Linked DNA regions of Drosophila melanogaster. The protein of the gene in region 4 interacts with the protein of the main gene of each other region in a pairwise test. Each region holds a gene or a part of one and is shown on either strand. Other genes may lie near its edges.

The links.
Region 1: the proteins of CG7582 (region 4) and wat interact in a two-hybrid assay, tested with the Drosophila melanogaster proteins (one large-scale study listed by BioGRID).
Region 2: the proteins of CG7582 (region 4) and CG6337 interact in a two-hybrid assay, tested with the Drosophila melanogaster proteins (one large-scale study listed by BioGRID).
Region 3: the proteins of CG7582 (region 4) and CG1309 interact in a two-hybrid assay, tested with the Drosophila melanogaster proteins (one large-scale study listed by BioGRID).

The regions. Positions count from the first base shown.
Region 1 is NT_033777.3:29,015,014-29,023,506, reverse strand, and holds the start of wat (waterproof), read left to right. Parts: upstream 1-3,100; 5' UTR 3,101-3,484; intron 3,485-8,493. UniProt on the Drosophila melanogaster protein: Catalyzes the reduction of saturated fatty acyl-CoA to fatty alcohols. The preferred substrates are C24:0 and C26:0. Necessary for the final stages of tracheal maturation, to facilitate the transition from water-filled to gas-filled tubes.
Region 2 is NT_033778.4:13,831,512-13,839,186, reverse strand, and holds CG6337 (uncharacterized protein), read left to right. Parts: upstream 1-4,090; 5' UTR 4,091-4,124; coding exon 4,125-4,220; intron 4,221-4,340; coding exon 4,341-5,267; 3' UTR 5,268-5,612; downstream 5,613-7,675. Other genes in the region: CtsL2 (cathepsin L2), read right to left, coding at 1-698, 1,140-1,468.
Region 3 is NT_037436.4:4,254,143-4,262,346, forward strand, and holds CG1309 (uncharacterized protein), read left to right. Parts: upstream 1-5,287; 5' UTR 5,288-5,400; coding exon 5,401-5,526; intron 5,527-5,601; coding exon 5,602-5,915; intron 5,916-5,966; coding exon 5,967-6,118; intron 6,119-6,225; coding exon 6,226-6,829; intron 6,830-6,895; coding exon 6,896-7,163; exon of another isoform or gene 7,164-7,219; coding exon 7,220-7,330; 3' UTR 7,331-7,501; downstream 7,502-8,204. Other genes in the region: CG1265 (uncharacterized protein), read left to right, coding at 673-826, 894-1,153, 1,468-1,588, 1,658-1,788; CG15011 (uncharacterized protein), read right to left, coding at 1,932-2,357, 2,418-2,873, 2,934-3,114, 3,170-3,378, 3,442-3,573, 3,630-3,746, 3,804-3,920, 3,974-4,132 and 2 more; CG11586 (uncharacterized protein), read right to left, coding at 7,581-8,062, 8,122-8,204.
Region 4 is NT_033777.3:29,678,268-29,685,951, reverse strand, and holds CG7582 (uncharacterized protein), read left to right. Parts: upstream 1-3,910; 5' UTR 3,911-4,085; coding exon 4,086-4,106; intron 4,107-4,655; coding exon 4,656-4,825; intron 4,826-4,887; coding exon 4,888-5,461; 3' UTR 5,462-5,711; downstream 5,712-7,684. Other genes in the region: Obp99c (Odorant-binding protein 99c), read left to right, coding at 1-153; Gycalpha99B (guanylyl cyclase alpha-subunit at 99B), read right to left, coding at 338-542, 605-1,953, 2,014-2,254, 2,315-2,550; CAP-D2 condensin subunit, read right to left, coding at 5,774-7,684.

The DNA.
Region 1 (8,493 bases), 660 kb from region 4:
GCTTCCGTTCAGCCATGTCCATGTGTGTCTTCCAGCCAATGTGTTGGTAATTCTGCATTCTACCGTGACTGATACTTTTATACCCTCGATGGGGCATTTTATTTTTGCATTGAATGGCGAAGTTGCACATTGTCACAAACCATATTTTCACTCCGGGAATTCCGTCGAGAAGTGTTCCCAGAAGTGTTCCCAAATTAGATTGCTCACCACTAAATTCAGGCATTTGCTTGACTTTGCAATTAGAGAGTAAGCGACCAATTCCAAGATCTTTATAGTATATATCATTCCTTGGCTTCTTCAAGTTGTGAAGGGTATTGAAAGCATAGGTTTCTTTGTGTGTTAAGAACATATTGGAGGCGTACGCTGCGTTCCGTCTGGCCATAAAATAAATCAAGCAGCCCGACACCAGAGTCAATAGTAAATCACGGCTGAAACGGCAAATTACCAGACACTACTGGCCATCATCTCGTCATCGAGACTCCTCGAATAATTATGCGGTGACGCGACGAATTTTCCACACACTCCAAATGCCGAATTAGCCCTGGCAATTACCTTTTTAGATTTGCAGCTTCTGGACTTTGAGTTTGATTTGTTATGGCCGCTGTTTTCTTTTTCTGTTTGTCTTTGAACGGCGCTATTTGCTAGTCGATTTGTTAGAATATCGAGAGGTAAAAAACCCAAATGACTTGGCAATTTGCCTTGGCTATTATCGCGATGACGAAGCTGGCCAGTTTTTGGGGGTGCAACCGTTTGGATGGATCCGCGATTTCGGCCCGGATTCTTGTCGCTCAAGAGCACCAAGGTCAACTTTCGCTTTTTTAGTGCTCCATTTTATTGGGTTCTTAAATTTCGGTTGCGTTTATTGCACTTCGCTTTTCAGCTCGACTGTTTGGTTAGTCCATATGATTTTGGCCATACGATTGAGCCTGGTAATGCAAGCTAATTTGACGGTCCATAAACGGTCTGTGTGGAACATAAAAAAAAACCACCATATAACTAAATAGTTTATAAAAACAATAATCGTAGAATGATCAGCTTAAAAAGTATTTTAATTTGGCTCGAACGTATTTCAATGCCCTTGAAAATAAACAGGTAGATAGTTGAACCTTTAATAACTGACTATGTCAGAAACGAAGAATAACTTTTTAAGCTAATTACTAAGACCAGGTGCGAAAATCGGCGAGAAATCAGATTTTCAAGGTATTGACTCAAAAAGGTAACACTCAGTTGTCTGGGTAAATGTTGCCCTATTTGCTCATTGCAAACTGTCCGCCTACAAATCGTAACTTTTTATATAATGGAGCCCCGAAATCTGCATAAGTAAAGAGGCATTTCAAAGCAATTACACAGCATAAATAAAGGCATCAAACAATCTGCAGGCCGTTGTACCTCGAAAGTGAAGTAATTATACATCAAAAGCGAATCATGTCATTGTCAAGTGTTTGAACAGAGCTGAACAAGATCGGATCATACCTGAAAAGTGTGCACTTGAGTGTCTTTTGATGGGGCCACCATTAATATGCAGTGTCTTGATCGCGAATATTATTATTTTAATTTCGTTATTTCGCATTTGTCATTAATGGGCCTTTTGTTTCGTTTTCGTACAGCGTTTGTGCGAGAGATATTCGAGTTTATAGACTCTTTGAGCTTGGCTCTGGTGTGAGAAGATACTGCGTCAAGATACAGATACAGATGGGATCGGCGACAAAACATGCTGGGAACTACGTGATTGATGGCGGCACTGCGATTACCAGCCGAACAGCTGAACAGTACTGAACTCGACTTAGAATACTCGGCCCAGGCGAATATATTATAAATGCTGGGATATATGCGAAATCAGTGAAATCTTGTCGCGTCTAAAAAGGAAAATCACACAGCAAATGCAAAATTTATGAGCGAACTACGTCGAACGACGTCTCCGGGCGAACGGAGCAGGAATACCAATTGGGCTGGGTTTTCGATTGGGATTCGTATAGGGATGGAGCGGATGTGCACTGCACTCGAGGATGAGTCAGCTGAGCCGGAGGTCCGTGTGGGTTCAGCCCTGTCAGACAGATCAAACTATAAAGACAGGGTCCAGGTTCGCCGAATGTCTTTAATTAGCCAGCACGGTTTCAGAGATCTCATCTAGTAATCACTTTATTTACCAGACACAACTTGGGGTCAGCATGATAATCATATGCTATCATCACTTAATTAACAACGGAATTTTTTATACAAGATAAAAGAACATACATATAATGCAAAGTAATCCAATACATTTTCGGTTAATCATTTTGCACTTCTTAACAATCATAATGATAATCCGAAAATTCAATCGCTATGTATTCAATTATATGGAGCCTCATAATATATGATATATGTACACGCTGCGTATGAGTAATATTTACAGTTCATCTCGAAATCTTTGCTAATATTTTGAGTATTCGTCATCTTCGTTGGAATGATAACTACTAGTATACATTGGGTATGGGAATATTCAATTTTGAAACTCAACTGAATAAGGCAATTGTAAAAGATACTGGCGTAATCTTTGATTACCAGCACGTTTTGTTAATTGTTTATTAAAGATGCTTTGGAACCTTCAAAATGCTCCATTTAATAGGATGAATGGCAAGCTGTAAGCTAAGTAACCGGCGCTATTTTAACCCAAGTGACCAGCGCTTAAGTGAAGTCCGATGTACATATACCGCAAATATATCTCAAATGCTTCGGCTTTACGAGGCTCCATAAAATTGGATCATAACACTGGCAGTGTCCGAAAGCGATGCTCAGGTGCGGCAAGTTAGTACGACTATGTACATGTGTACACTTCAATCGCCAGTCCAAACTGCGCCACTCAATTTGACTTGATTTTTTTTTTAAGTTTGGCTTACCGCCCACAAAACGCCGCAGTCGCCGTCGCAGTCGACGCCACCGTCGCTGAGGCGCTGAGCCGCTGAGCCACCAAACCGCTGAGCCGCTGAGATGCCAAGCGCACCACCATCGAGCCGCTGAACGGCGCCGATCCACGGACTGAGAAGCCGCCGTCAGGTGTTGTGGTTTTTGCGAGCCTCAATCGAGCTGAGTCTGTTTTCGTCTGCCTGGCAGCGCGGTTCTGGAACGCGTAACGCTCGCATCGACTTCAAAAGTTAGTTTTCAAACTCGGGACTCAATTCGCTGGATATACAAAACCGATTCGGTTCGGATCGCGGTGCGCTCCCAGTTTTTCCACCTGTTGCAACCAATTTGGCATCGCTCTTTTCGCTACTCTTGTGCAACAGCGCGTGCTGCAGTTGTAAAGCGCGTTTGGTTAGAGAATTTTTATATATTTCGAAAGTGGCAACTGAAAAAGATAGAAAACCAAGAGATATATCCCTGTATGCCAGCGAGCAAGATTCGTTTTGGCAGATCCACGAGCCCTCCAATTAGCCAGCAATTTGCGGAAAGCCACTCCAATCCAATCCGTGGCCGTGGGATCTGTGCCTGTGCAGCCAGCAAATCGGTGAGTCTTGAATTACATGGGATTATAGACAATCTGCTCTGCTATCCGTATACCTGGTAATCGTATGACATATGCCATTACGTATATGCTAGGCACTGTAGGTAGTGGTGGTGGTAATGTAGCTGGCGTTGATGGCTTTCTAAAAAAAATACCCATATACCCAAATACCCAAAACGGGTTGGATTCGCTCCGCAGGTGCAGGAGGGGCCGACGAAGAGCTCATAGCCAATTGCCAGCACACAGGCATTCACGAAAAAATGTGTGAAATTTCATTGAATTTCCCAAATTTAATACACAAACAAACCCACTCGGCAATTGGGAAATAACTCATTGTTTTGCCATTGCAATGGCAAAAGAGTTACGGCTGCCAAAGAATCGATAATCGCCAGTTGGATTATTATATTACTCCCGTGGTCTTTGTGTATTTCAAACAAGTTTGCATTCATTCGTATTTTATATATGGCCAAACCCAAAAAATAATTGATTAGATTGGGAAAAACATTCATTACTGGATCAAGAGCAGTTCGATCAATATTTAAATTCCCACTTAGCAGCTCACTAATTTGGCAGAATAAATAATATTATCTGTGACATTTGGTTTTACAAATCCGTGACTAATTGTTCTGTGCTGGCTATAAAAGAAATTACTTGATGCTCAAAAATATACAAAAATATACATACCTTTTGTAAAAGAGACTAAAAGGCCAGAAGAGGATTTTAAATATTTAGAAGATACGCATTTCAGTGAAATGTCGCAATAAAAATGTGTTGCATTAAATATTATTATATTACGTAAATCATATTTCAGCTGCGCAGAAATGTGCAATTTGCCTCAGCTTTACAAGCCATTTAAAATCCGAACTCAATTAAGCGATGTAATTTGGAAATTAAAGTTCATAAAGAATTTAAAGAGTGGACGCCCCCAAGCCCTTTATACAACAAATACTTTCGTTGGCCAAATTTAAATGGCAATGAAATGCATTCAATGAAATATGCATGAGAATATCATCATATCGTGCTGAAATGAAACAGAGTTTAAAAAATCGATTTGTGTGCCACAATTAAATGGGCCTCAAGGATGCAATTAAAGTATCTAAGTATCTGTGCAGGAAAAACCCAGCCAACTCTTTAATTGAGGCGAGACGAGAAAATAGTGCTAAACTTCATGTCATAGCGATTCAATTAATTCGCAATTTATCAATTTTCAGTGCCAGGGCTTTTTGATGCGGCCAAACATATTTCATTTGTCCACCACAAACAACTGGTATTCCAGTTCGGATGCGGATGGGGATTCGTTGGGAGTTCGCTTCGGGATCCGTGGGCGGATGGCTCTGGTGGCTCTGGTGTTCCATGTTCCATGTTCAGTGGGCTGACGTGGTGGGGCGTCAAGTGGAAAATAATCGATGATGTGCCCGGGCACAATGCAAACATTGAATCAAAGTCAAATAGCATTAAACTTTTTGAACTTGCGAGGCGCGGCGAACATAAAAAAAATGAAATAATAATAAAAGTTTGCCCGCCTTCCAAGAGGCGTGAAAGCGCACACAAAAAAGTGGGCAAGCGGGGTAGGGGGTTTTTTTTTGGGTTCCTGGGTTTTTGGGACTCGGTGCTGCAGTTTTGGATCTCCCTTTCCAGAGATTTAGTGCTTTTCTTTTTTTTGGATGGATAAGCGCAGCGTTGCGCAAATATTTGACAAATCCCGCGAAAAGTCTGCTTATGTTGTCACCTCGCCTCGTTGCCATTTCTATCCAGCACCCAGGGAATGGAATGGGATAACTGGGATGGGATGCGATGGGATTTGCAGTGTGACTGGCACTGGGCCAGTCATGCTGATTAGGATTGCACCGAAAGACACTTGCCACTTGCCACTTACCACTTTCAACGTGCGACAATGTTTTCGAATTGAAATCCGAATCGGAATTTGCATGCGAATGCTCGCGGTGTAATTTATATTTCGCACTTGGCGCACTTTTCATTTCGCTGCGCGATTTTGTTTATGCAATTTGGCCAACTGCCTGCCGAATGCCAAAAGGAAGGCAAACGCCTCAGGCTTCAGGCTTCTGGCTAACGAGTGCAGGCGCGTGTCTGTATCTATATCTGTATCTGCACCTCTATCTGTATCTGTATCTGTATCTGTATCTGTATCTGTATCTTGTGGATAGGGAAGACCCCCCGAGATTCCCATATAGCAGGTGAAGGCGAACGTAAATGCGCCAATTTGTATGCAAGCAGCATTAATCGAGGGGTAATCCGGCAGCGATGCATTGCAGCCAGTTAAAGCCCAAGCCCAAGCCGATTCCGAATCCAAATCGAAGTCCAAAGCCAAATCCAGAGCCAGAGCCACTGCGTTTCGACCTGGCCAAGAGGGGCCGACATTACGTGAGATGTGCAATTGCACGAAATTGATTTGCAATCGATAAATGTGCGAATATTGCTTCTGCTGCGAATTAGCAGCCAAACAGCCAAACGGCCAAGTGTCCAAATGGCCAAGATATCCGAAGGCGCTCTTCGCCTTGCATTTTCCAGGCGTGTTTAAGTATGCATAAATAACTCATCGGCCGCCTGACCATGAATCCAATTGGGAACATCTTCATTTAAATTGTTTAGTAGCCGAGCAATGCGGCTGAGTAATGTTTGCATTGTATCTGCATCTGTGCCTCCGGTATCTGCACATTTTTCAAGCTGCCAAGTGGCAACGTTCCTAAATAAAGGTATGTTTTGAACATAAATTTTGTCAATTTCAACTATTATCGGGTGAGTTTGCATTTACCATACTCGTATAAAACGTACGGTTTTAAATTACAACAAAGATCGAATTTCCATGCAGATATTCTATATATTTGTAGATAAAAGTGTTACACTTGTAGCTGTTCATTTGAACACGGCCATATTAAATTCTGCATGCTCATTTAATTAGTGTAATTATATTTGGCACAGTACATATGTAGCTGCTCTGATATGTTTCATATTACACTTATTAATTATTTAACGAGCGCTGTAATATATAATTGTAAAATTCCTGCGGTCTGAATAGCCCACTCTGAGTGACAGCCAGTTGATTTAAACGGAATGTGTTCTTTAACTATAGATGAACCATTGATAAGAGGTTAACCCAAACATTGCAATTATTTATATATTTTAATGCAGCATCTGGGCGGAGAAGCATATAAATTATATTGTTGCTGAAACTTCCCATGCCAGCATTGATATTGATAAAATTCAAAATAAATCCAATCGCTTTCGGGCGTAAAAAAAATCGCCTCTCTTCTATCAAAATCGCTCCTTGGCCTGTGTGTGTGTGTGTGTGTGTTTGTGCTCACGCTTTGTGCTGCAAAAATTGAAAAATCAAACACAAGGAAAACCACTCGAGATTCAGCAGTGCAATCGATTTCCAAAGCAACATTGGTGGTCGTACCAAAGCAGTTGTATTGGTAATATTGGTAGCATAGTAGCCACTGACAAGGTCAGCACTTGGGCTTTTATTTGGGGCCCGGCGGTTGTCGCATTCTAAGCAAATCGCAATTGCCATATAGCTGCAGCTATCTACTACAGCTATACTCGTATATACAATACATTTGCTATTAGCTCGTTGTGGAATCGTTTGTTGAATCGTTGTTGAATCGTTGTGGAAATCGTGGCCCGGCCGTAATACACGTATTAATCTTGCCTCGCTTCTTGTTAGATGTGGCGTTGTTTTTGCGGTGGCAGCTTTGCTTTTGCCTTTTTGCTTAGTGCTTTTGCTTTGCTTTGGCAGCAACAAGTGTTTAATTGCGATAAATGCACCTGACCGCCTTGAGCCTGAGCTTGGGTTTGGGTTGAGACTGGGTTCGGACTGGGTTTGGGCAAGGCTTTCTGGTTCTCTCAGAATCTCTGCTGCTTTTCCACCTGCCCACTGGCCAGCACTACGCGAAAAGGTCAACACAATTCGGCTGCAGGCCAGCGGCATTGAACATGAACGTGGCCCGAAACTCTGCACGTAAAGTTGCCAATTTTTGTTGTTTGTTTGTTTGTTCGTTAGTCAACGTTTTCGGCCCAATTAAGAGCGGGCCCATAAATTTGGCATGACCATTTAAACATAAACCCCGACCGTGTACATCCTGTAACGGCTTTTTAATTATGCATGTCGCTATGAAAGCGTCGCTGCTTTGGCACTTGGCTAAAAGGTCTGCCAGCCCAGGCAACTGGGTCATTACCATGGCCTGGTCTTGATCTTCTGCTGATGGGGCCGTAAAAGACTTACTCCAACAGGTTGTAAAGCCAGTGAATTGTCTTGAATGTAATGTGCCATAAAGACATAAATTACAGTTCGGCCCAGAGACGCTATGGATATGGTGGCTTAGGTCAGGCATTTGATGCCGCTTATTGGAGCGTTTTCAGGAGCACCTCTTGACCTTAGGTAAGGGTCTTAGTAGCGATGGAGCATGTGCTTAGAGGAAGAAGAGTTCCTCTTTCGTACGTGGTATATTTTATATCTCCTGGGTACTTAATTACCTTTCAGGTATGCGGAAATATATCAGAAATATTCAAGGGTCTTAATTTCCTTTTAAATCGTATGGAAACCCCTTGTAATCTTGAGTTCAACCGCAACTGCACTCAATGACAACTTCATGACTCAATATTAATTGAATTATTCCAATTGAGACCTGATTTGCGGAGTGGAATATTTTTGCCAGACTTTTGGCAAGTCATCTTATCCGAGCTACAGATATTGAAAAATGATTTGCATCATTTGGCAGGCAATAAACTGTAAGATTCGCTATTCGATTTCAATCGAAAATCACGCATGCCGCTGCCAGTCGGTCGGATCTTAGCCCACTTCCACTTCCTCGAATTGCAGTGGAGCAGAACCCTTGAGTTTAACCCATCGCCGCCCAGTTAACCCATGACTTCGGCGGCGAGTCACGGATGGCAGAACTGTGCGGAATCGAAATGCGAGTTCGAACGCAGAGTGCGTGAAAATGAGTATTATGGGAAACATTGCCACAAATTGATGCACTACGCAGTGCTAC
Region 2 (7,675 bases), on a different chromosome or scaffold from region 4:
TGCCGCAGAATCCACCTGCATTCCGGAGGATGCGCATAAAGCCGCCCTCGCCCCAATTCTGAGAGTACGAGTTCTTGATGATCCAGTAGTCGCGTCCATTTTCCGTTCCATAGCCCACCACGGTTACCGAGTGATTCAGTTCGCCCTGATTGCACTCCTCGTCCTCGTAGATGCCACCGCTGTACTGCTCAAACGAAATGGTGTCCGCGTTCATGGAGCACGCCAACGGTCCCAACGTGGCAATCACCTCCTTCATCTTCTCCTCATCCCCGGGAGTAATGGTGGCATAATCGCGAATTTTCACCAGACTCTCGCGCGGTGGACGTCCGGCGGTTTCGTTCTGACGGCACTGCATCTCCGTCTGTGTGTACGGATATTTGTTGGCCAGCGTTACACCGTGATCGCGTATGTACTCGAAACCGTACTCCTGGAAGCCACCGTCACAGCCCATGTTGCCGTAGTCATCGGCACAGTCCACCAGATTCTGCTGCGACAGCGAGGCCAGCACTCCAGTCCGCCGGAATAGATGTCCTTCGAGCGCTCCTGTGGTGGCGAACGACCAGCAGGCACCGCATCCCACACCCTGGAATCCCGGTGGCGTCACTCCGCCCTTCTCGCGCCAATCGAACATCTCGGGAAGATTGGCACTCGCCGGATTCCTGGCAGTCACAAAGTTGATATGGCCATTCGTATATCTCCTGCAAGGTAAGTAAAACATTTTAGTATTCCGTTAAGCAAAGATTAAAGCAAATTAGTAGCTTACTTAAGTGGCAACCAGACTACATTTAAATGTTATTCATAATGTTCTTAAATGTATGACAAACAACCGATAAGTTATGAAACATTTGTTATGGAGCTTCGTCGTAATAAATAAGTTCGATATGGAAGGGTTTTGTTTGTTTCCACCCATTTGGTTATAGTTTTCGGGAAACCACAAACCTATGGTCGGAATATTTGATCAATTCTGATTTCTTGATTAGCATAACCGGGAAACCAATCGGCACCTACGTAACGTTACAAATCATATGGACGACGATACCGAAACCCGTTTGAAAGTTATAAGCTGGGTGATAATTCGTTTATGGCCAAAAAGGGGACTTCCCCCGAGCTCTAGATATGCGTAAGATGGTGCTACTTACTCGCCAAATTCGGAGATTTTGGAGCCCAGCAAGGTGGCTATCTCCTTTCTGGTCATGTCGGCCAGCGTATTGACGCCCAGCCGGAATCCGGACACGCCGTTGTCGGCGTTCTTATTGCTCAGCGTGATCAGCGACATCTTGGCCGCGAAGATGCTCTCGCGATAGACTCGCTCCTCATCCGAGTACACCTTGCCCGTCTGCCGGAGGAAGTCGTCGAAGTTTTGCACATCGCAGAGCTTGGGAAACGACTGCAGTTGCTGCAATGACACAGCACCCAGCAGGGCCAGTCCCAGCGTCATCTGCAGCCACATCGTTGAGCACATCCGCATCTGGAACGGTGGACAGCAGAGCGAGTGGAAAGCGTTAGGTAACCACTTGGCCAATACATAGTTACACCATCCCATCCCATCTCATCGCATCCCGCGACCCCTTTTCATGCCCCTTTTCTTGCCACATCTATCTGTCAACGTTAATCACTTGGCCGCAACTCGACCCGTTCATTCACCTCCAATCGAACCAACCTGCCGTGCAGATCGTGAAGTTTCCTATAAGTGGAGCCGCTATAAATATTTATTTATGGACATATTAAAAGCAACGTTGCTTCCTAGAAAATCTGCACAATTTGAAAACAGGCCACACTCAAAATCTATGCGTTTATTCGATATTAAAATGTTTATCCAGTAGATACTTTTTATTGGTAAATATTCAGTGGAGTGTCTTCATTGACATAAGAAATGATGTTATGTCTTTTTGAGTAATTTGAGTAAGTACAATGTTTGGCAAAACCAAAATAAAACAAAGAAACTAATAAATTGTTTGTTTAACAAGCTTGGTTTTGAAGAAACTAAACCGTTTAATGATCGCCTATGCAGAAATCAACATTGTTTCTAAGACAATCAAAAACATAATGATCGATTAAACGAATAAAAAACTAATTATTATTGGTTTTTTCTATCACGCTGACTATCCGCTTCTGTCAGCAATCGCGTTAATGGGTAATTAATCATGCGCTGTCTTAATTTCTCAACTTTATTCGATCTTACCAAATTAAATAGACTTTTGAAACTAGCAGAGCATTCGCTGTTCGTATTTCCGGTCTGTTTTACGAATTCGATCACCGATGAGACGTGAATAATTACTGGGTGAATGAGCTAATTTGCATATGCTTAGCATAATTACATTAGTGCAAGCATTCGATTCGGATGAATTTCGAAATGTATGAATGATTTCGCGGCTTCGTCTCTCCTTTTATTTCCTCAGCTCCCAAATTGGCTCCATCGAGGGCCCAAATAAATCAAAATCAAATCTAGATTAGGCAACCGCAGGCTAAGATTTCACTTTCGTTGCCATAAAATACTGATCACATGCTGTGCCCGGTGAAAGGCGATGGATTCCCCTGTTTAAAATCAAATTTCGAGTCGAATGTAAGCAATTGCAGTTCTCTTGTCTTCGACGGACCATTATGAATCGAAAAATAACAACACACACGACACAATATGTTGAAAAGATCGACTTAATCACCTTTTATGGATATCTGGGAATGATATGTTCAAAACACCTTCCGCGTTCACAAATCACAAAACTATTCGAAGATGCTGAAGACTCGAAGACCGGCGAGATTATAAGCGGCGCTCGACCCGCACACCTTGGTTTTATAGAGTCTGGAGCTGGACCGTGGGACATATGGCCAAAACTGGATGGGCCACCAATTTGAAACTTTTGGAATACCGACAAGAGCATATTCATCTTCATTTCGACGGGCTATCTGGTTTATGGGTCTATAGCTGTCTCCATTATATGCATGCTTAGTAATTGTCGATTGCCTAATGTGTTGGTGGCTATAACAACGCATATTAACTCATTTGAAACAAAAGAGAAAATAGTCAAACATGTTTTTAAATAGTTAATAATTGATGAGATCGAAGTCACAGTTGTAGCGCCTATAGGATTACAAATTTCAATGCAGCAAGCAAAGTTTTAGGAAAGTTTTTAAAGCGTCTCTAAGTAGTTTGTACTATTATATCCCTTGTAAATAAATAACACTTTGATTTTTATGTAAATAATACAATTACAGAATGATAAAGATGCAGACGGATGAATAATGGTCTCGACTTTCAATAACTATAAATTGAAATTGAACCATGAAGAGATTGATTAGTGGCCAATTTATTTGCATTTCAATTAACAGATTCGTGGAATCTGAATTTGTTGTTGCGTCTACTAAAAAGTTCATTGACTGCTGAAATCCCTTATGGACTTACCTACATATTTGCAAAATTTCAAGATGATCCCTCATTACTACTTCGAATATATACTACCTGTAGTATATGCTAGACTACCGCAATGGAAATTACCAAACAACTCACTTAGCACTTGGTTTACAGCAATTTGGCCAAGTCTTCCAACGGGCCTATCTATCTATCTGTCTATGTATCTTTCCATCTACGTATCTATCTATCAACGCTGTTGCAACTTTTATGGGCGCCACAAAGTATGACTGTGATTAATCATGCCTGCGCTGAAGACAAAACCTGAAGACTAAACGATAAGTTGGCATTAGAGGGGCGTTTACGATGCTCCATGGGCATATGGGCTTGGGTGTTTTTTTCTGAACTGGGCCAGTGGGGATTTCGAATTAACAGAGATACGAGAACCCACCGCCGAATCGCAACGATACGAAACGGGGCATTTGACAAGTTTATTGGGCAAACAAAGCGCACCCCGACTTTTCCTACCAACGTCGGCTTATCGAGGAGACCCAACCCGGAATATGAATACTACGGATAGTACGTTTGAGTGCTGCTGGCCAAGTGCGAATTCAAGGCCTCGTAGAAATCTACGAGTATTTGCACTTTTCTTGCGAAAGTAAGTCGCTTTGGTAAACTTCTATTTGCGTTTGCAATCAGAAGGAGAGTTTGCCGGTGCCTATAAAAGATCGTTCCATGGTTCTGGCGGCATTAGTTGGTGCGGATTTGGGTTTTCGTCATGTTCAAGTTGCTACTTTGCTGCCTTCTACTAACCATCGACAGTGGATGGGCCTTTAATCATGGCCAGGATCTAGTGGACTTTCAAACTTACGAGGTATGTGAGTCATCAAGAAAACAAAGTCTGGATGGGATTTAATTAGAAATTATATCTTGTATCTTATGGCATTGAAAAGGATTGTATTGAGTAATGGAATTCAAATCTTTCCATTTACAGGACAATTTCAACAAGACCTATGCCTCAACTTCGGCTCGCAACTTCGCCAACTACTACTTCATCTACAACCGCAACCAGGTGGCGCAGCACAATGCCCAGGCCGATAGGAATCGCACCACCTACCGCGAGGCAGTGAATCAGTTCTCGGACATCCGGCTCATCCAGTTCGCAGCCCTGCTGCCCAAAGCCGTGAATACGGTGACCTCGGCGGCCAGTGATCCACCGGCCAGTCAAGCGGCATCTGCCAGCTTTGACATTATCACGGATTTCGGACTCACCGTGGCGGTGGAGGATCAGGGCGTGAACTGCAGCAGTAGTTGGGCCTATGCCACCGCCAAGGCCGTGGAGATCATGAATGCCGTGCAGACAGCCAATCCTCTGCCCTCGTCCTTGTCCGCCCAGCAGCTGCTGGACTGTGCGGGCATGGGCACCGGATGCAGCACCCAGACGCCCCTGGCTGCCCTCAACTATCTCACCCAGCTGACAGATGCGTATCTCTATCCGGAGGTGGACTATCCGAATAACAATAGCCTGAAAACGCCGGGTATGTGCCAGCCCCCATCCTCTGTGTCAGTGGGCGTGAAGTTGGCCGGCTATTCCACGGTGGCCGACAACGATGATGCCGCCGTAATGCGTTACGTATCGAATGGATTCCCCGTCATAGTCGAGTACAATCCGGCTACCTTTGGATTCATGCAGTACTCCAGTGGCGTCTATGTCCAGGAGACGCGTGCCCTGACCAATCCAAAGAGCTCACAGTTCCTGGTGGTCGTGGGCTACGATCACGACGTGGACTCCAATCTGGACTACTGGCGCTGCCTGAACTCCTTCGGCGACACGTGGGGCGAGGAGGGTTACATCAGGATCGTGCGCAGGTCCAATCAGCCCATTGCCAAGAATGCCGTCTTTCCCAGTGCGCTTGCCTAAGAAGGATTCCGATTTGACCTTATTTCAAGTTAATAAACTTAAGTTTTATGTGTAAATTTTTATATGATGATTTTGTTTCGGATTCAGTAGATGCTGTAAGTTCTTTAAAAAAACTTAATGCTAGTAAGCAATACTATTATTATTATTATAGACGCATTATCTTTAAATCAACTAGAATTCGAGTAACAGATTCGGGAATATCTATAATAACACTATGATGATACCTTAAGAGTGTGCCTATCTATATCTATGATAGTTCATAGAATAGAAGAATAGTAATAGAACCATCCAAGAAATAGATTTGGGAATATCTCAAATAAAGCTAAGATAATTCATCGAGATCTTGAATATTACATAAAGAGTAATCTTGAAAAAAAATCCCCCGTCTTCTACCAAAAAGTATCGTTTGGTTTTTTGTTGTGAAAGCTTACAGCTTTTTTGTCTCCATTTATTGAATTTACCATTTTATTTAGTTTATTTATTGATTTTTCATCTACAAGCGGAGCTTTACAGACTTAAATGCTAAAAATTAACAAGTTCACTTTATTTTCTTTTCTTTTCTTGTTTTTCGCATCTTTGATCTGCTTATGGATTTTATACTATTATCTTTGCAGTGTTTTCTTTTTCTGTTATGTTTCTCTTGCATAATAAATAAGTTTCCCATTTTGTTGCTATCCGTGTTGCTGTGATATAAAAACGAAAGGAAATTATATAGATATATATAATATTTAGGTATTATATTTATGGTTATAGAATATTCGACTCAGCCAGCGCAGACAAAAGCTTCTTTTTTTTGGTGTGTGTTCTTTCTGTAGATTTCTTAATCTTAGTTCTCGTAAATTTTTTAAGTTTCAGTAACTTGTTTGGAAACGTTGTTATTATAAATACTTCTCGTTATTATATTTCAATTGCGTTAAATAATTTGAAATATATGTATGTACGTTGTGTTTGCATTTTGTTTTGTTTTAGTTTAGGTTTTTAGTTTTTAGTTTTTATTTTTGGTTTAGAATGTCTTCCCGTCTTCTTGTGAAGCAAAGCTCAATGATATGATTCACGCTGAAAGGTGATTTAACGATTTTTATTATTTCAATAATTTTGCAGTTTATAAAGATTGCGTGATCTTGTGTTTTATTAGGTTTTTCTTTGTTTTTTGTTTTTTGTTCTGGATGTGCTTGAGTTGCAATATTTAGGGTACTTCCTTGGAAAATCGTTGCGGATGAAGAACAAAATCGAAATTATCCATCGTAATCGGTTTAGTTGTGGAACCTTAAGTACTGTGACTAGTTAATGGGGTATTGATTTTAAATTTCCTTCTTTTTCGCCATTTAATTACTCTCTTATTTTTTCACTATTACGATACCAACGGCTAGTGTTTGTTATTATTTTATAAATTAAAATTAGTTAGGTTTATCTACATATGCTCTCGCTTCTCTCTGTATTTATCTTATTATCTTTCCGTATAATTCTTAATAATATTTAACTAAATAAATATAATGTTATATAATTTATGCAATTTCTCATGTATATATATATCTTTGTTTTTTGCTTTTGTTTTCTACACAAAATGATGTGTTTGTAACTGGTTTTTATATGTTGGCTAGTGTTTCTGTTTATTAATATCTTGCAATGTTTTGTGTTGACTGTACCTCGGTTTGTGTTCGAATCGCATTGGGGACACAAATCAAAATGTTTATGGACTTTCCGTCTAAAGTATTAGGAAGATTTATGTATATCAGCCATGCTAGCAGCTCCACTTCCGCCGGAATTTCGCGGAAATCCGTTGAAAATGTATCATAGGGATCTCATGGCTATATAGTATGGTTTAGTTTTCGTGAAGCCTACAATGGACAAACTTTATTATTTCCTTCTCGTATTTAGTATTTGATGGATTCTCCTTTGGTTTCATTTATTTACTCTGTATAAATTTCAATGCTATTCTCTTAATTTTCTCACTACGAAAATTGATTTTCTGCTTCCAAATGAGTTATGAATACCAAATTATTGCAACTTCTTTGCCGTAAAGATTGGTGTTCATCCTTAGAACTTGCACTAATCGGTTTCATAAAGGGTTTGCCTTTGAGGATGCCCTTCCTCATTTATTTTATTGAATTGCAAAAAACAGATCTCAAATTTTGAGACTAGTTCACAGAACAAAAGCTTATAAATCAAATGAAACTATGGATTACCTTCCAAAAAGGTTGTAGATAAAATCCCAACATATAATATGACACCAAATAATAAAATAATCCTGGTTACTGCAAAGTATTTATCGCAAATAGATAGATGTTCGTCTTTAAAATTTGCACTTACAGGTTTCTTGAAGGGCAAGCCTTTAAAGATTCACCCAGTTATAAACTAAAATGGAAATACTTTAAAAAAAAACCAAAGAGGAGAACGCAGTTTTTAGT
Region 3 (8,204 bases), on a different chromosome or scaffold from region 4:
CTCCTCGGAGATTGCCTAATTTTTGCGTTTTTCAGATGACTCTGTACCCAGTCTATCTAAATTTCTGGTTTTCAGATACTAGAATATGCGTGCAATTTGCGGATTTGGACAGATTTTGGACCCGAAAAAAAACTAATGCGGATCCAGTGTGACCACCGCTCGACCGTTCAAATATACCATGGGAATTCACGGCTTAAGTTAGGGATGTGATGGTCTCCGCGTGACTCGAGCTTGGTTTTAAAAAATGTGATACTCTGCAAGTTGTTTATATGTATGGATTTCATGAATTATTTATGTGTTGTAATAATAAACGTGTTTCTTACACAATTTAATTGCTCAGCAATTCTACTTTTCTTTTTTGATTGCTTATATTTTATATTATATTTTTGATTGCTTAATTACTAAAATTATTATATGTTTAAAAAACTTGTTTCTATTTTCATAGTTTTTAATTTTTATACTTATATTTTATAACTTATAGAAATTTCTTGAAAACCCTAAAAATGACATGAGTTTGTTATTTATTGCTATGTTATAAAATAATTAGAAACCATTACAGCAAATATCGTTAATTTGTTTACTAGTGATAGAGTGTGGTAACACTAGCATTTCCGTCCACACAATGTTAAGGTCACACTCAGAAGCTGCAAATTTCGAATTTCGACGGTCGCTATGAGTGGAGCTCTCGGAGATGTGGTGTCCGAATACCTGGAGCGCGGCCCAGTGCTCGTGGTGGCGGACCTCCTTAGCCTGATAACGGTCTCGTCCTGCCTGGTGATCAAGGTTCCGCAGATAAACACGATACGGGCGAACGAGTCCTCGAAAGGTGAGCACCGCCCACACAACATCTGCAACCTATCCTCCCACTCATATGATACGGATTTATGAATTAGGCATCAGTGTTTTGGGACTGTGCCTGGAGCTGTTCAGTTATACGGTGATGTTGTCGTACAACTACACCAGTGGCTACGACTTCCTCTCGTACATGGAGTATCCTGTTTTGCTGCTGCAGGAGTACGCCCTGATTTACTACGCCTTCAAGTACCAGGATCTGCTGGGAAGGAGGACGCAAGTGGTGGCCATACTGTATAGTATAGTGGCCACTCTCATATACATGAAGCTCTTTCCCATTATCATCCTTAAGTTCCTGGTGGTGAGTAAGCCTGTATTGATATCACCTAGTGACTGATTAGTCGGGTATTCTTGCCCAGATAACGACTTCGGCGCAGTTCAAACCCGTTCCCCGCTCTCTTTTCCAATTAACTAATTATGTTTCCGGGCAAACGGGTTTGGTTTGATTTGTTATTTGTTTTAGTTTGAAAAGGCGGTGCTCTTAACTGGGCAGCATCTTCGCTCAAGGTCACCGATGTTTGTTGTATAATATTTGAGCGGCTATTAATACTTTCAGTGCTCGGGCAATATATATAAATCTCGTGAAATTCATCTAAATGTTTGATTTCCCGTCAGCCTTTCTGCACTCCCATTGGAGCCACGAGTAAGGTCCTCCAGCTGCTGGCTATTCTGAGGACCAAGGATGCCAGTTCCGTCAGTAGAACCACATGGGCGCTCTCCGCCTTTACAAACATGAGTGAGATCACATCTTGCATTCCATCACTTGATGTCATCAATTAACACATCATATATGTATCCCTTACAGCTCGAATCTACACGGTGTTCTTCCAGTCCCACGATTGGATGTTGCTATCAAACTTCCTGATTTCGACGTTCCTTAGCGCCTCCGTTTTCACCGCCGCTTGCGTCTACAAGAAGAAGGCCAAGGCGGAGTAATTGGCCAGCCTGATTAGAAAAGCTCAACATAGACAAACACTGCGCTGGCTGGAAATGCTTATCAGTCATTGTTTTAATTCTATTTGCTTATCTGTTTAAATTGATATTACAAATTCTTGTTTGAATCGGTTGTTGTTACTCGTTTAACTGTCCGCGTAGAAAGCCACCACAATTGCACCCACAACTGTTAGAATGGATACTGCATAGATTGCTCTACGTTGCCAATCGATCTTGGTCTTGGCCGGTCCAGAACCCACAGTTTTGCGCTCCTTGTGCTTGCGTTTGCCGAACTTGGCCTCGAACTTCTCGAGTTCCAGGCGGTTTCTTTCTTCCTCGTCGCGACGCTTTTGTTCCAGCTGCAGTTGCTCTGCCGCCTGGACGCGAATTTGCTCCGCCTTGCAGTTCGAGTCGCAATCCAAGAATGTCTGACCAGCACGGTGTTTGTCACAGGCAATCTCCTGCTTGAGTCGCTTGCAGGCGCAGAAAATGCGAACCTTCTTGCGGCACAACTCGGGATTTGGGCACTTGCCTGTGTGGCAGATGGCTGTGCAGCGATGTCCGCAAGGATACTGAAAAAATATATATATCACTGTAAGGCTTGATCGACAATGGTATATTACAGCACTTACATTCTTCAAGCATCGATTACCGCAGCTCCGTAGCTTTTCTCTTCGCTCGATGATCTCCTGGACCGATCCCGTTTCATCATAATACTCGTTGCACTTGTAAACCAACTGGTTGAGTCCACAGTGACACTTGGTCTTAATCACAAAGTTGCAGGGCGCACAGGGCGGTGGATGACATCCTTTGGGACAGGCGTGAATACATCCGGTTGGTCGGGGAACGGTGCAACCCTCCTCGCAGTTGGCACAGCCAGTTTGCGCAGACATATCCTGGGGAAGCGGTACGAAATGGCAAACCAATGAACACTTGTGATTGCCGCACTTAAGCTGACGTGCACACGATCGCTGACAGGAAGTGGGTTTGGAGTTCCAGCATGGCCAAGTGGCAACCTCATGACCTCCGATACAGGTGACAATGACGCCTTCCTCGCACCGTGGATGTGGTAATGCCTTATACTCATACTGTAAAACAAATTGTAGAGTTTTAATGTTGAGATAGGTGAGTTTTGTGATTATAGTTACCTTTTTGGCCTGTGGCCTAGCCTCTTTGGGTTTATTAACTCTAACTGCCTCGTGGCATCGTGCCTTACAGATGTGCCCACACTTGCTGGTGTCATTGGGTAGACCGCACACTTGGCCACATGGAGGACAGTCACCCTTGTGACAACGATGCTTAATGGCATGGTGACATTTGGGAGTTATGCTGCAAGAAGTGAGATTAAAAGTCGGTCATTATATATTGCGAAAGAAATACGAACCGACAGAGTTCCAAGCAGACAATGCGTGCACTTCTTTCCCTGCCACAAGGAACACTTTTTTTGGTCTTTCCACAGCGGCAGTTAATCTGGGATTCCAGTTTACACGGATAGCAAGGTCCGTTGTGGCACACGGACTGACATTTGTGCTTGTTGCAGCTCAGCTGCTTGCCACAAATCTTTTCGCACGGTGGACACTGGTCCCCACAGCACTTTAAAAAAGGTTATTGGTTAATTCGGCTGTATACATTTAAAATGCTTGCGTGCTCTTATACCTTTCTATTGCATGCATGCTTGCCGCAATCACGCATTTGCTTGCATTTAGTCTCGCATGCAAACTCTTTGGAGCAGGGCAACTCCTTTTCGTGCAGACCACAACGACACTTCTTTTTGGTTCTTATTGGGCACTGTAAGAAACATATTTCATTAGAGAATCGATTTGCTTCCCTGGTGGCTATCTTACGGAAATGCAAGGTCCACGATGACAACGCTGGGTGCAAGTGTGCTGGCCACAGGACAAAAGTTTTTGGCACGTATCGCCACAGGTTTCCTCTGTCTCATTACAGGGTCTTACCTGGGTCTACAGAATTAGGTAATCATAAATGAATATAAACTTGTAAATAAATATATCACATACATTCTTGCCGCATGGGCAACTCCTGACTTGCAAAGGACACTCTCCATCTCCGCAGGGTCCAGCGTGACACACCTTCTCGCAAATGTGCAAACCACAAGCAAATGGAGCTCCACAAACCTGAAAGAATATTAATGTTGTTTTATGCTTCAGCTTCAAAAGGCTTTTCTTACATTCTGACACTTCCATTTCCGATCGGAGCAGTTGACCATCTTCGACTCCCGCTGGCACTCGCAAGGTTGTAAGCTTTTGCTGGTGCATGGAGGACACTTTCCTGGCTGATGACACACCTGATTACATTTGTGCTTGCCGCAGGCTAGAAGTTCCTTGCACTGGAAAATCATTTTTTTAGTATGGTGGTCAGACAAAATTTCTTAAAACGTTAAGACTTACAGTCTGCTGACACGTCCACTGCTTGTCAATGCACCTCACGGACCTAGGACTAGATTTACCACACAGGCACGAGACCTGCGCCTGCTGCGCACAAGGAGGACATGGCCCCGGATGACATAGCAGCTTGCAATCGTGCCCACACTTCGGTTGCAAAAGCTTTCCGCAGTGCTCTCCGCATGAGTGGGGCACAAGGAAGGGCTGGTTCTCGGGGTTCACCTCCTTGCCGCAGAAGCAGTTGTACTGCGTGGGCTTATCGGCCGGTTGGTAGTCCCTGCGGCACTTGGGGCAGCACCAGTGAAGGGATTTCTGTCGCTTGGGCGGCACAAATTCGCCCAGATGATTGTAGTGGCCCTGGCCGTTCTGCTGCTCTGCCGCCTTTACCTTCATCTGCATCATGCTGTCGTTGGCCCACCGTTGGATGCACTTCAAGTGAAAGAAGCAGTAACAGCTCTCGCAAGACCAAATGGCCTCCACCCGCCGAATGCTTCCGATGCAAATGAGACAGGTTGCCGCTCCCGAGTGTAGAGTGTTTTCCAGAAACGTACTGGTGCGTGCCGCTTCCTTTGAGCTTCCTGCGTTGTCCGACGGTTTGTAGTTCTTGTATAGGAGTTCTGAAAAGATAAAGCACAAAATTTGATGGTTTTCAAATGACACGTCACAAGCATCGGTCGATTTACCCAAAATGTGATTCTCATCCAGTTCGCCTTCATCCTCGGAGCTGGAGGCGTAGGTGTCCACCAGTTTTTGGGCGGCAGCCAAATTTTTAGCTTGCGCTTTATTAAACTTTTCCATTTTTAAGCCGGCGTTTTTGTCTATCAACTGGGAATAAATTCCTGGGGTAGAACCAGGGATGGCTCGTTCTCTGATAACAGCAATTAGGGGATCTAGTTCCGAAAGGTACACATTTGTGTGAGCTTTCAGTTTCCAATTGGGAATTTCATTTAATTCAAAAAAAATACATACATACACATTAATACCTAAATTATCAAACATCCTCTCTGCATATTTTATTGCATTTAATAATTTGGACCAACATTTTGAAGTTTACAATTAATAGGTCAGGTATCTAATGTGGCAGCCCTGGTATTCGATGTTAAACATCTGTTCGTGAGTGCGACACCCTGGAACAGCTTTCACATCATTTGCAACAAAATAAAATAGAGAAAATTAAATATATCCAGACATACCGACTACGATCCGATCCAAGATGAGTTTCCTAAATTACGTGTTTGGCCCCAACCTCTACATGGAATACCGCGGTGTGCCGGAGCCGCAGCGCAAGATGTACGAGGCAGGTGCCGTGGAAAAGTTCGGGGAGCAGATTCTATCGACGGTAAGTGCCCTGCGATCCCATGGGGCAGAATCTGGAGCATATGGTAATGTGGAAAATCGACACTCTCCGTTGCAGCTATCGGTTATGTGGTCCGTGGGCTATTATACTTCTCCGCTGCTCGTCACATTCCTATACCGACGCGGCTACCTGGTGACCGATTCCATACCGACGCTGGCCAAGATCACCACCAGCGTGGGCCTCATCGTCATCCTATCGCTGGTGATGCGCGGCCTGGGGCGCAAGCAATCGCGCTCCTACTCCAACATGATTAAGGCCCTCGTCCGAGCAAAGTCCTCCAAGGCACCAGGAGATGCCAACAGCGAGCTGCGTCGCTTCGACATCGAGTTCAACGCTTGGCCGGTGGACTTTGATGTGAAAGCTCTAACCGGGTGAGTGGGCTACGCCTTTGAAGTGTGCCAGAATAACATCTTCGTTTTCAGTGATACCAAAAAGCCGGTGGTTACGGCTAGAAGGCGGGAGCCCATCCAGCTGGCGACACTGCCCTGTGAGGCCATCGCCTACCTGGCCATAAACACCTTTGGGCTCTCCATGATCTATCCGGGTTCGGTCAAACTACTCCAGAAACTTATGAGTAAGAAAGATATACATATGTGAAGCTGTCTGAAATGTTGTTAAATTGCAATCCGATAAGCCCATAAGATAGACTTCTACATATACTGAACCTAAAATATTTTGCAGGACCCATGCTGATCTCCGGACGCGCCAAGCTCATCGAGGATGACAACGGCATCCGCTACAAGGTTAAGACCATTGACTCGAACGAAATCGATACGTTGTTCATTGACAATCGCCCAAACAACGTGGGAAATGGCAAGACTCTAGTCATTTGCTCCGAGGGCAATGCCGGTTTTTATGAAGTGGGCATTATGGCCACCCCAGTGGCCTTAAAGTATTCCGTTTTGGGCTGGAATCATCCCGGATTTGCCGGCAGCACAGGCACTCCTCATCCCCACCAGGACAAGAACGCCATCGATGCCGTGGTGCAGTTTGCCATCAACAATCTTAGGTTCCCCGTAGAGGATATAATTTTGTATGGCTGGAGCATTGGTGGCTTTAGTACACTATACGCTGCCTCTGTGTATCCGGATGTCAAGGGAGTGGTACTAGACGCCACCTTCGACGATGTGCTCTACTTGGCCGTTCCTCGCATGCCAGCTGCACTGGCGGGCATTGTCAAGGTAGCCATTCGAAACTACTGTAATTTGAACAATGCCGAACTGGCCAACGAGTTCAATGGACCCATATCCTTTATTCGCCGCACTGAGGATGAGATCATTGCAGAGTGAGTGATAACTTTTGCATTTGGGCAGAGGTCTTTCCTAAAACGTAACCCATTGATTTCCATTAGGGACAACCACATTGACACAAACCGCGGAAATTTCTTGGTCTTGTCAGTGCTCAAGCACCGGTATCCCAACATTTTTGGGGCTTCCCAGTTGAATAAGGCCAAGGGGCTGCTGTCTAAGCCCCTGGAACCATACAGTATCCCCGTCGCCGACGAGAAGCTGTGCATGTCGCGCCTGATCACCTACGCCTCTGACGAGGGCAAGTCATTCCCCATGAACATTGGAGCAGATTACTCGGAGGAGGTGCGCAATCTGATGGCTGTGTTCTTGGTGGGTTTATTCGGCAGTTTAAATGGTCTATATATCTAATACTGTTCACCTTTCAGCTGCGCAAGCATTTACGTGACTATAACTCGACGCACTGCACCCAGCTGCCCGGGGAGTTCTTTACCATGCCGTGGGACATACCCACTGAGCAGGGATTTGTGTTCACCTAAGCTCATTCCGCAGGTGATCCACGGCCGTATGCTTAGATTTAGTAAAATGGTTTTTAGTAATTTTTGCCTTCTGACTGCTTATTAAATTATTCTAACTGGGAACAGCCGGGTAGCTGGTGTCTTCTGAACTGGTGTGAAATTATATACAAAATAAATGTCACAAGCTAAACTAGACGCGTCGTCTTGTGGTTAGTTTCTATTTCATGGTACAGCTAAAATTGGAGGGGAGGGGCAGTTCAACACTTAGTTCCTACGAGTTCTTCTTTGATCCACCGAAGCCGGAGAAGCCCATGATGGCGGCCATGTCGTCGGGCATGCCGCCGGACTCGAAGTCCGTGTCCTCGGCCTTGCGCTTCCGCTCTTTTCGCTTCTCCTTGCGGTGTTCCTTGTAGCGATCCTCCTCCTCCTTGGCCTCCCGCAGGCGGCGCTCGAGCTCGTAGTCTTTCTGCTTCTCCTCCATCTTCTTCTTGTTCTGCTGGAAGCGCTCCTTTACCTGGTCGACGGTGCTCCGCTCCACCTTCATGGACATGCCCAGATTGCGCTGGTGCTTCTTGCCATTGATGTGGTCCAGAAAGTTGATGGAATCCTTGACCACGCAGTCGCAAACGTTGCAGTAATAGCCACCGGATTGCGAGGTGGGTGTGTTCTTGTTGATGACAACGCTCTTGCCCAGCTTGCTGTCCAGGTCCACCTTATAGTCGCGTCGCTTGAGGTTCTCCCGCTGTACGGGTTCTGGTGAAAAACAAAAAGACTTTTATTATGTGTGCCTTCCAGGGAATTTAGACACTGACCTTCTTCCTTGGGTGCCACCTGGTTGAGCAGCCGCTCCGCCGCCAGCTTCTCGTACTCGTTCTTGTCCCATTTCCTTCGGTGG
Region 4 (7,684 bases):
GCCCAGAGCTGCGTGGACGACAACGCGCAGAAGAATCCCACGGATGTGTGGGCCTTTCGCGGACACCAGTGCATGATGGCCAGTAAGATCGGCGACAAGGTCAGGGCCTTCGTGAAGGCCAAGGCGGAGGAGGCCAAAAAGAAGGCCGCCTAGGTCTGAATTTTCGGTCTCAACCAATAAAATGTGTTCATCTCTATGCTGAAATGCAACCATTCGAATGGGATATTTTATTGATTCTAGGCTAAGCAGGCAACAGGCAAAACCACAATACAAGTGCACCGAACTAGGACTACTGAGCGTGTGGGTGGTCTACGGGGGGATTGGAGCTACGGGGGGTCTAGGCATCGCCGCCCTCGGATATGGTCTTCATGGACACATTGATGTGCTCCACCAGCGGCAGCTCGCTGTCCAAAGCCGGGTTGCGGAAGCTCTCCAGGAAGTAGCAGGTCTCGGTGCCGCCGGGATTGGGGAATTCCTTGGGCAGGAACGATGGATCCCGCGGCTGCAGCTCAAACTCAAAGCCCTCGTGCTTGGTCAGCCAACTGAAAGTAGGGAAAGCAACATGATATAGAGGTGGAGATGGACAGTAGAGTACACCACTTACTCCTTGGTGGTTGGGCTAACATTAATCTTCAGCGCCTCGCTGCCCGACTCGAACTTGTTGGCGATGGTGACGCTGTGCCCGAAGAGGCAATACCTGGGCATCTTCCTGCCCACCACTCCCGCCAAGACAGTGCCCGTGTGCAGGCCGATCCTCATTTTAATTTGCTCGCCGTCGTGGGTAATGTGCTTCGAGCAGGCGTCGATCATCTTCAGGGCCATCCAGGCAACCTTGTGGGCGTCGTAGATGGAGGCTCGGTGGAGTCCACTGGCCACGCAGTAGGCATCCCCGATGGTCTCCACCTTGTACACGTCGAAGAAGTCGCAGAACTCGTCGAAGTCCTTGTACAGCCCCTCCAGCATGCTGATCACCATGAAGGGAGTGGCCCGCGAGCAGATGCTAGTGAAGCCAACGATGTCGCTGAACAGGATCGTAACATCGGGATACGTCTTGGCGTCAATGGAGGAGCCCAGCCAAAGCTTCTCGGCGATCTCCGCGGGAAAGATGAGGTGCAGCAGACTGACGTTCTTCTTCCGCTCCTTGGTCACCGCCGAGTTGGCCTCCTCAATGCTGTTCTTGATCTTGTCCATGCGCCGGCGCAGTCCATCCTGGGCCCGAGCCTGTTCGCCCACCAGGATCACCTCCCTGGTGGCGTCGTGCAGCGGTATGTCCGAGATGAAGAGTCCGTTGCAGGTCAACCCATCCAGGCCGTCCAGGAAGGGGGATCCAATGAAGAGCAACGAATTGGACTCGGGACAGTGCACCATCTGTCCCTTGATCTCCAGTCCAATGGCCGGGAAATCCACAGCGCCCGGCGGATTATTCAAACCGATCAGGAAAGGCGTGTAGGTGCGCCTCACGATGTCCCGGAATTTCATGGTCAATCCCTTGGGTCGTTTGAAATCAAAGTAGGTGGTCGCCTGGCAACCAAAGTCCGCCATGTAGGGCTTGTACAATTTGCTGAATCCCCTGCCCAACTGCACCAGTTCCAGCTGCTCGTTCATGATGAAGTGCCAGGGAAACATCTTGCAGAAGCTGGACGAGTTCATTTGCAGGTCGGAGGCGTTGCTCGAGTTGCTCCGCTGCACCGTTTCCGGGATGGTTTTGCTCACGGAAGTGGGACGACCCATCAGCATGGTCTGGGAGTTGTCCTTGACCAGCGAGAAGAGGTAGCGATACCGCCGGGCATCGCCCTCCACGGGCTCGATCTTGATGTTCACGTCCACCTTGTAGAGCATGCGGGTGAGCGCCTTCAGGGAGCCCAGGAGCAACCAGGCAATGACCGGGCGCTCCGAGGTGAAGATCAGCTCGCCCTCGCCGGCACACACGAATCCGGTATCGGTGACGTCCTCCTGGTTATCAAAGCGGACTTAGTTTAGCATTTAGGTAGGAACATTATCTATAAGTCTGACCTCCTGCAGCTTCAGCACATCGTAAACGCCATCGAGGGAGCCCAGGAATTCCTGCAGATCGGTGCCCAGGCAGCGGAAGGCTCTTTCAATGATACCTGTGCAGCAGCAGGTGATCAGCTCCTCGCCGAGCAGCACCAGAATCTCGCTGGCGCTGGCCTCGTCCATCTTCAGCAGCAGCTCCTGGATGTCCGCCAAGTAGTCATAGTTGGCACAGCTCTTGAAGGTTTGCGGATCCAGTTTGCTAGGGTATATTTAGATATAGTTTATATCTAGTATATAATTTCTTATAATGCTTACTTACAGCTTGTGGATATTGGGCCAGTTCTGGCGGTACTTGGCCACCAAAGACGTTACAGCCGTGTTGAGATCCTCGTTCGACGGCGCCGTCAGCAGCTGGATGGCCATCTGGAGGTGGGTGAGGGTCAGGGCGTCGTCCGAGAGCTCCTCGTCCTCGAGCGCCCAGTGGCCACCAGGCTCGGCGATGACCGAGGGCTGGCGTGTCAGCGAGTCCGCACGCCTGAAGAAAGGACACGCCATGTCGCGTGCTCGCCTCTCGGGTGGCCTCTATTCGATCTATTTTGGGGGATTTGTGTGGTGCAATTAGTGGCTTATACAATTTAACAATTCAATTATTGAACGCAAATCAATCAAACTTGATAAAATACGCGTTTGCATTTTATTGCATAATTTGAGGTATGAGATAAAAAGAACACTTTTCAATACTTTCAAAAACCCATTAAGAGCATTTAATCAATTCAAGTGAAATTATAATTGAGATGTGTGTTTTCTCCGGAAATACAGTCATCTAATCGATGTGTATCGTGCATTTTCCGCCCGGGGCTTTTCTCTGCTCTTTTCTCAAGTTCAACGTGCACTTGTGTGAGTGGGTGGCTGGCCTGCTACGTGCACCACCCACTGGTGGCCCACATAGGCTCGAGTCCCTGCAGTGTCTTGTGTGGCTTTGCTCCTTGGAGGTCAAGTGTGTGGCAGTCCTTCTTTATTTCGTTCTTGGCAAGGATCCCACTCGTGCTTTCTGGCCAGTGGCATTACCATAATTTCGTTTTGCATAATTTACGAGCTCCGCTCCTGCCCCAATCCCCGCCAGCTGCTGCTGCCCGATGTGTGTCACACTGGTCAGCTTTAATTTTCACCACCTCCTGCTTTCTACAGGAGTGTGTATTTGCCTGCAGGAAGCACCCACGGATACACAATTTTCCAGCTCAATCAAGCAAGGTTTTTCCACTTGGGACACTCGAACGCCTAACAATAGCATACTTTTGGGCTAGCACTTACTTGGTTAAGAAAATAAAAATTCTTTCGCTGGCCTCTTGGCTTTATGCTCACTTTAAAGCAGTGACCAAAATTGCTGTGGAAATTCTTGGAGCGCTGAGGAATTTTTTCGCACGCCTGAAAAATGCCACAATCCGAAACGGAATGAACTTTGGGCCACAGTAAGGTGGCGAAAAAGTCCGGAGCCAGCCAAGCTTTGCGGAGAAAGCTTTGGCAAGTGAAAGTGTGCAGAGGTTGTTGCATTGTTTTGAAGATACAAAGAGAGCGGAGAGCGGAGAGCGAGTGCGCATGAGTGTATCTCACGGATACATTCTGATGCTGGCGGAAAAGCTCTGCCCAACGGTCAATTCTCAATTAACCTGTTGCGTGAGCAGCGCTCTCCGAGTTTCCCGCTCTCCACCAAACGGCAAAGGTAAGAAATAATCAATCTGCCCTCCTGGGCCCGCAAAATGTATCTGTATCTGTATCTGTGGGATATCCGTATCTGCAGAATGCTGCATATGCTGCACACCACATGTCCGGCTGAAAACTTTTCACTCTCCAGCAATCGGAAACTTTTCAGTCCAGCGAATCGAAAATGTATATGATACGCCTCAGTTTATTGACGTTGGCCGACCGTGCGCAACGTGTTCTTTTTCCATTGTTTTCATTTTCGGGGGGGCACTGTATAGTTTTGTTTATTTTCCATTCCGCGCTCGCATCGTGTGAAAGTGCAGCTTGGCTGGCTCGGATTTTTTTTTAACCCTCTCTAATAGTTGTAATTTGCACTAATTACGGCCGCAATGAACGATTTCGGGCAGTTCGTAAGTAGCGCAGGTTCTGGAATTCAGGAATCTCACGGTCTTAAGCTTCATTGATAATATAGAAATTATGCGAAATATGTATATGTGTGCATTGCGGATGCTCTATCTAAACGCAGAAAGTGGAACCAAGACGCAGCACACAAAGCTTCGTCCTTGACCTTGCACATCTCTCGGTTCTCCGGACGGGCGCACTTCGAAAGCTCCTGCATTGAAAGCGAAAGTTTGAAGGACCACTCGAGTGCCGCCCACCACCCGAGCCCATTAGACCCCCCCTTAATAATTCCATGCAAAGCCCATTTATGTTTGGTGACGAGGTTCCGTCGAGCCAACCCCAAGAACCAACCCTAATCTAATCTGCCCCCCGAAACGGTTCGATTTCCCTAATCACTTGATTTGGCTGTAGTTTGGACCTCCGTGGCTCGATTTGTTATAATCGTTTAAGCTATTTTAAGACCAGGCAACATGTTAAGCCTCGTAATCATATTAAGATAATTATTGTAAATACTTAAAGCAATATATTTAAAATTATGTACTATGTATCGATTATAGGCTAAGTCGCAAGGCCCAAAGTTGGTGCCATTCCTGGTTACTATTGTCCTATACTTCTCGCTGGTGAGGAAGGATCCTCAAGGAGAGCTATGGACCACCGTGCTCAAATGCCTGCCCATTTTCGCGCTTGTATTCTATGTGGTGGCCAAGGGAATCTCGCTCAAGAAGGAGTAAGCTTTATAGCATCGAAATACTATATACTACTTACTTATTAACAAGAAATTTTTAACAGATACCGTCGCTCACTTTGGATTCTATTGGGTCTGGTTTTCTCGAGTGGTGGTGATGCTCTGCTCAACATAAATCTCTTTCCCTTCGGAATGATCTCCTTTGGAGTGGCGCACGTGTTTTATATCAGCGCCTTTGGCTGGAAGCCCATAAAGTGGTTCATTGGACTGCTCTTGTACGTGGCCGTATCGCTTTGTAAGTTTACTGGTCATTATATACGTATACCTTACCTGGAATATTTGAAACCCCCAGTTGTTTACTTCGTGCACACGAAACTGGACGAGATTCTCATCATCGGAGTGCCCATCTACTGTTTCCTGATCACCACAATGCTGTGGAGATCGCTGGCCCGCGCCGTGGACTCCAGGAACTTCCTCGCCGTGTTCTGTGCCATCGGAGCCATTCTGTTTGTGATCTCCGACGCCCTGATCGCGGTCACCATGTTCGTGGGCGTGCCCCTGCCCTGCGCCCGCCTCCAGATCATGATCACCTACTACGCCGCCCAGTTTGCCATTGCGCTGAGCACCGCGGACGACGGTCCTGCCCTCCAGCGCTCCCTTCGCAAGAAAATTAAGTGAAGCCAGTGCCCAGTGCTCATCTGTCGGAGGCCCAGAGACAACATGAACGCAACCACCAAACTTAGTACTTCCAAAGCGTCTAGAGTATTGCCATTTACGTGTGTTGGTTTCCCCATCCCAGTAGCTTAGTGCAACCAAATATTTGTTCCCTTTCTGATGGATGTGGAAACGGATCTTAGTAGTTTACTAGATGTTTGTTGACTTCAAAGTAATAAATATATCAATAATAGGTTCTATTAACTATTTTATTAAAAACCATCTTTGTACATCATTAAAAACCCGCTCAGATCGTAACTTAAGATGGAGCACGAACTAGTCGCTGCTGCTGGAACTGAAGCTCTCTTCTGAGGTGGAATCCCGGCGAGCACGTCTTCCGCGTCCTCGCACAGTATTGTTCCTGTTGGCCGCCGGCTTGCGACCACCCTTCTTTGTCCTTGGCGCCGCTCTGGTTCTGTTGCCCTGACCTTCTGGAGTGCTTTCTTGATCACCCTGGGCAGCGGTATCCGGGTTGACTTGCAGGCACTCGTTCAGTCGGTTCTCGAACTCGGTGACTACAGCTTTGAGCTCCGGCTTGGCCAACTTGTTGGTGTTGCTAATGATGAGCTTGAAGGACTGATAAACCTCGTCCACCTGGACCTTGTCCCTGTAGTGCTGCATATTGTCCATTAGCTTCTTCACAGCTCGCTCGTTGTAGGTGAGCAGGCCGAGGCAGTAGGCGATGTCGCGCCATTGACGCTCCACCCGCGTTACCGGGAAGCGCAGACACAGCTTCTCCACTAGCGTCTCAATCTGGCGATCCTTCTGGATGAGACCCAGGATATAGGACATGATAATGCGGTACTTGTCCTCATCCAGGTTGAGGTTTATGTCCCCCAAACGGGAGATGATATCTGGCAGGACGTTGTACAGAATGTTCGACTTGTTGGCTATCTCCTTGAAGAACTGCTTGGTGATATTGCGAATCTCCTCGTTGCCGTCCACAATGCAAAGTGCCATGTCGGCGATTTGACCCTTGACGCGTATCATCTCGTTGAGGATCAGATGAGATAGCATTTTGACGGCAGTTAGCCTTAACTCGGTGTTCGATTCGTGCAGCTGAGCGTAGAAGTGCCCCGTCCACGGCTCGATGATGTTTGGGAAACGGAAAGTGAGATCCGACAGCCCCACCACCGTGTTGCACTTGATTCGAATGTTCTTCGTTAGGTTGAGGATGTTCATCAAAAAGCTCATGTTGGACTCGCAGAAACGGGAGGAGACGGTCATGAGCCGGGCCAGAGCCAAAGTAGCGGCCTGTTGCAACGTGGGATCACCAAACTCACCTGGACGCTTGCAAATCTCTATGATAAATGGCGCCAGCTTGGAGAGCAGAGCATCCGGGTTGTAAAGCAGCATGTCCTCGCAGATGCCGTGGATTTCCTCGGCGATGTTGTCCTCTGCAGTCGCTCCCACCAGATCGTCGTCTGGCTCCTGCTGTGGTTCCGCTGCCACTCCGGACAGCCTCTTGCGCACCTCCATCGCTGACATATTAAGCGTAAGTCTGGCCGCATTATGTGAACTTCCCGCCTGCTGATTGCGGTTTTTACGCTCTTCAAGAGCCGTCAGCTCGTCGCGATACTTCATGTTATTATAGATATCCATGTCGAGAAAGATCATCTCCTTGATGGTCATGTAGCCGATGCAAAAGATTAAGCGGGAGACGAGATACACGGGAATCAAGGTGCCTTGCATCTGCGATTGGCTATCAGCTTGAGTCTGAGTGGGAGTAAGGGTCTGCGAATGCGGAATCTCCAAGGGCTGCGAGTCCGGAACAGTTTCCGTATCCGCTTTGTCTGGAGAGGGAACTATTGCAGCCGCTTCCTTGACCAGCCAGCTCTCATTGAATTGCTTGAGTAAAGCCGTCACCAGTTGCTGCGCAATCACATCCGGCGCCTGGCACATCCTATAGAAGTATTCAAAAACACTCATGGCCAGTGCGTCGAAGTCGTATAGACTTCTGTGGAAAAAGAAGTCGAGGAAGAGCCGCGTGATCTTTCCCACGAATTCTGCATCGCTGTTCTGACGCTTATAATACTTGGCAGTGTTGTTTGCATCGATTGAGTTGACCAGCAGCTGCAGACAGGAGGTAAATATCCGTGGATCCCGACGCACCCGCTCTCCGACGGCGATATCCTCGATGATGGCAGTGTTGGCCGAAACAATACTAGACTTCGATTGCGAGGCCAT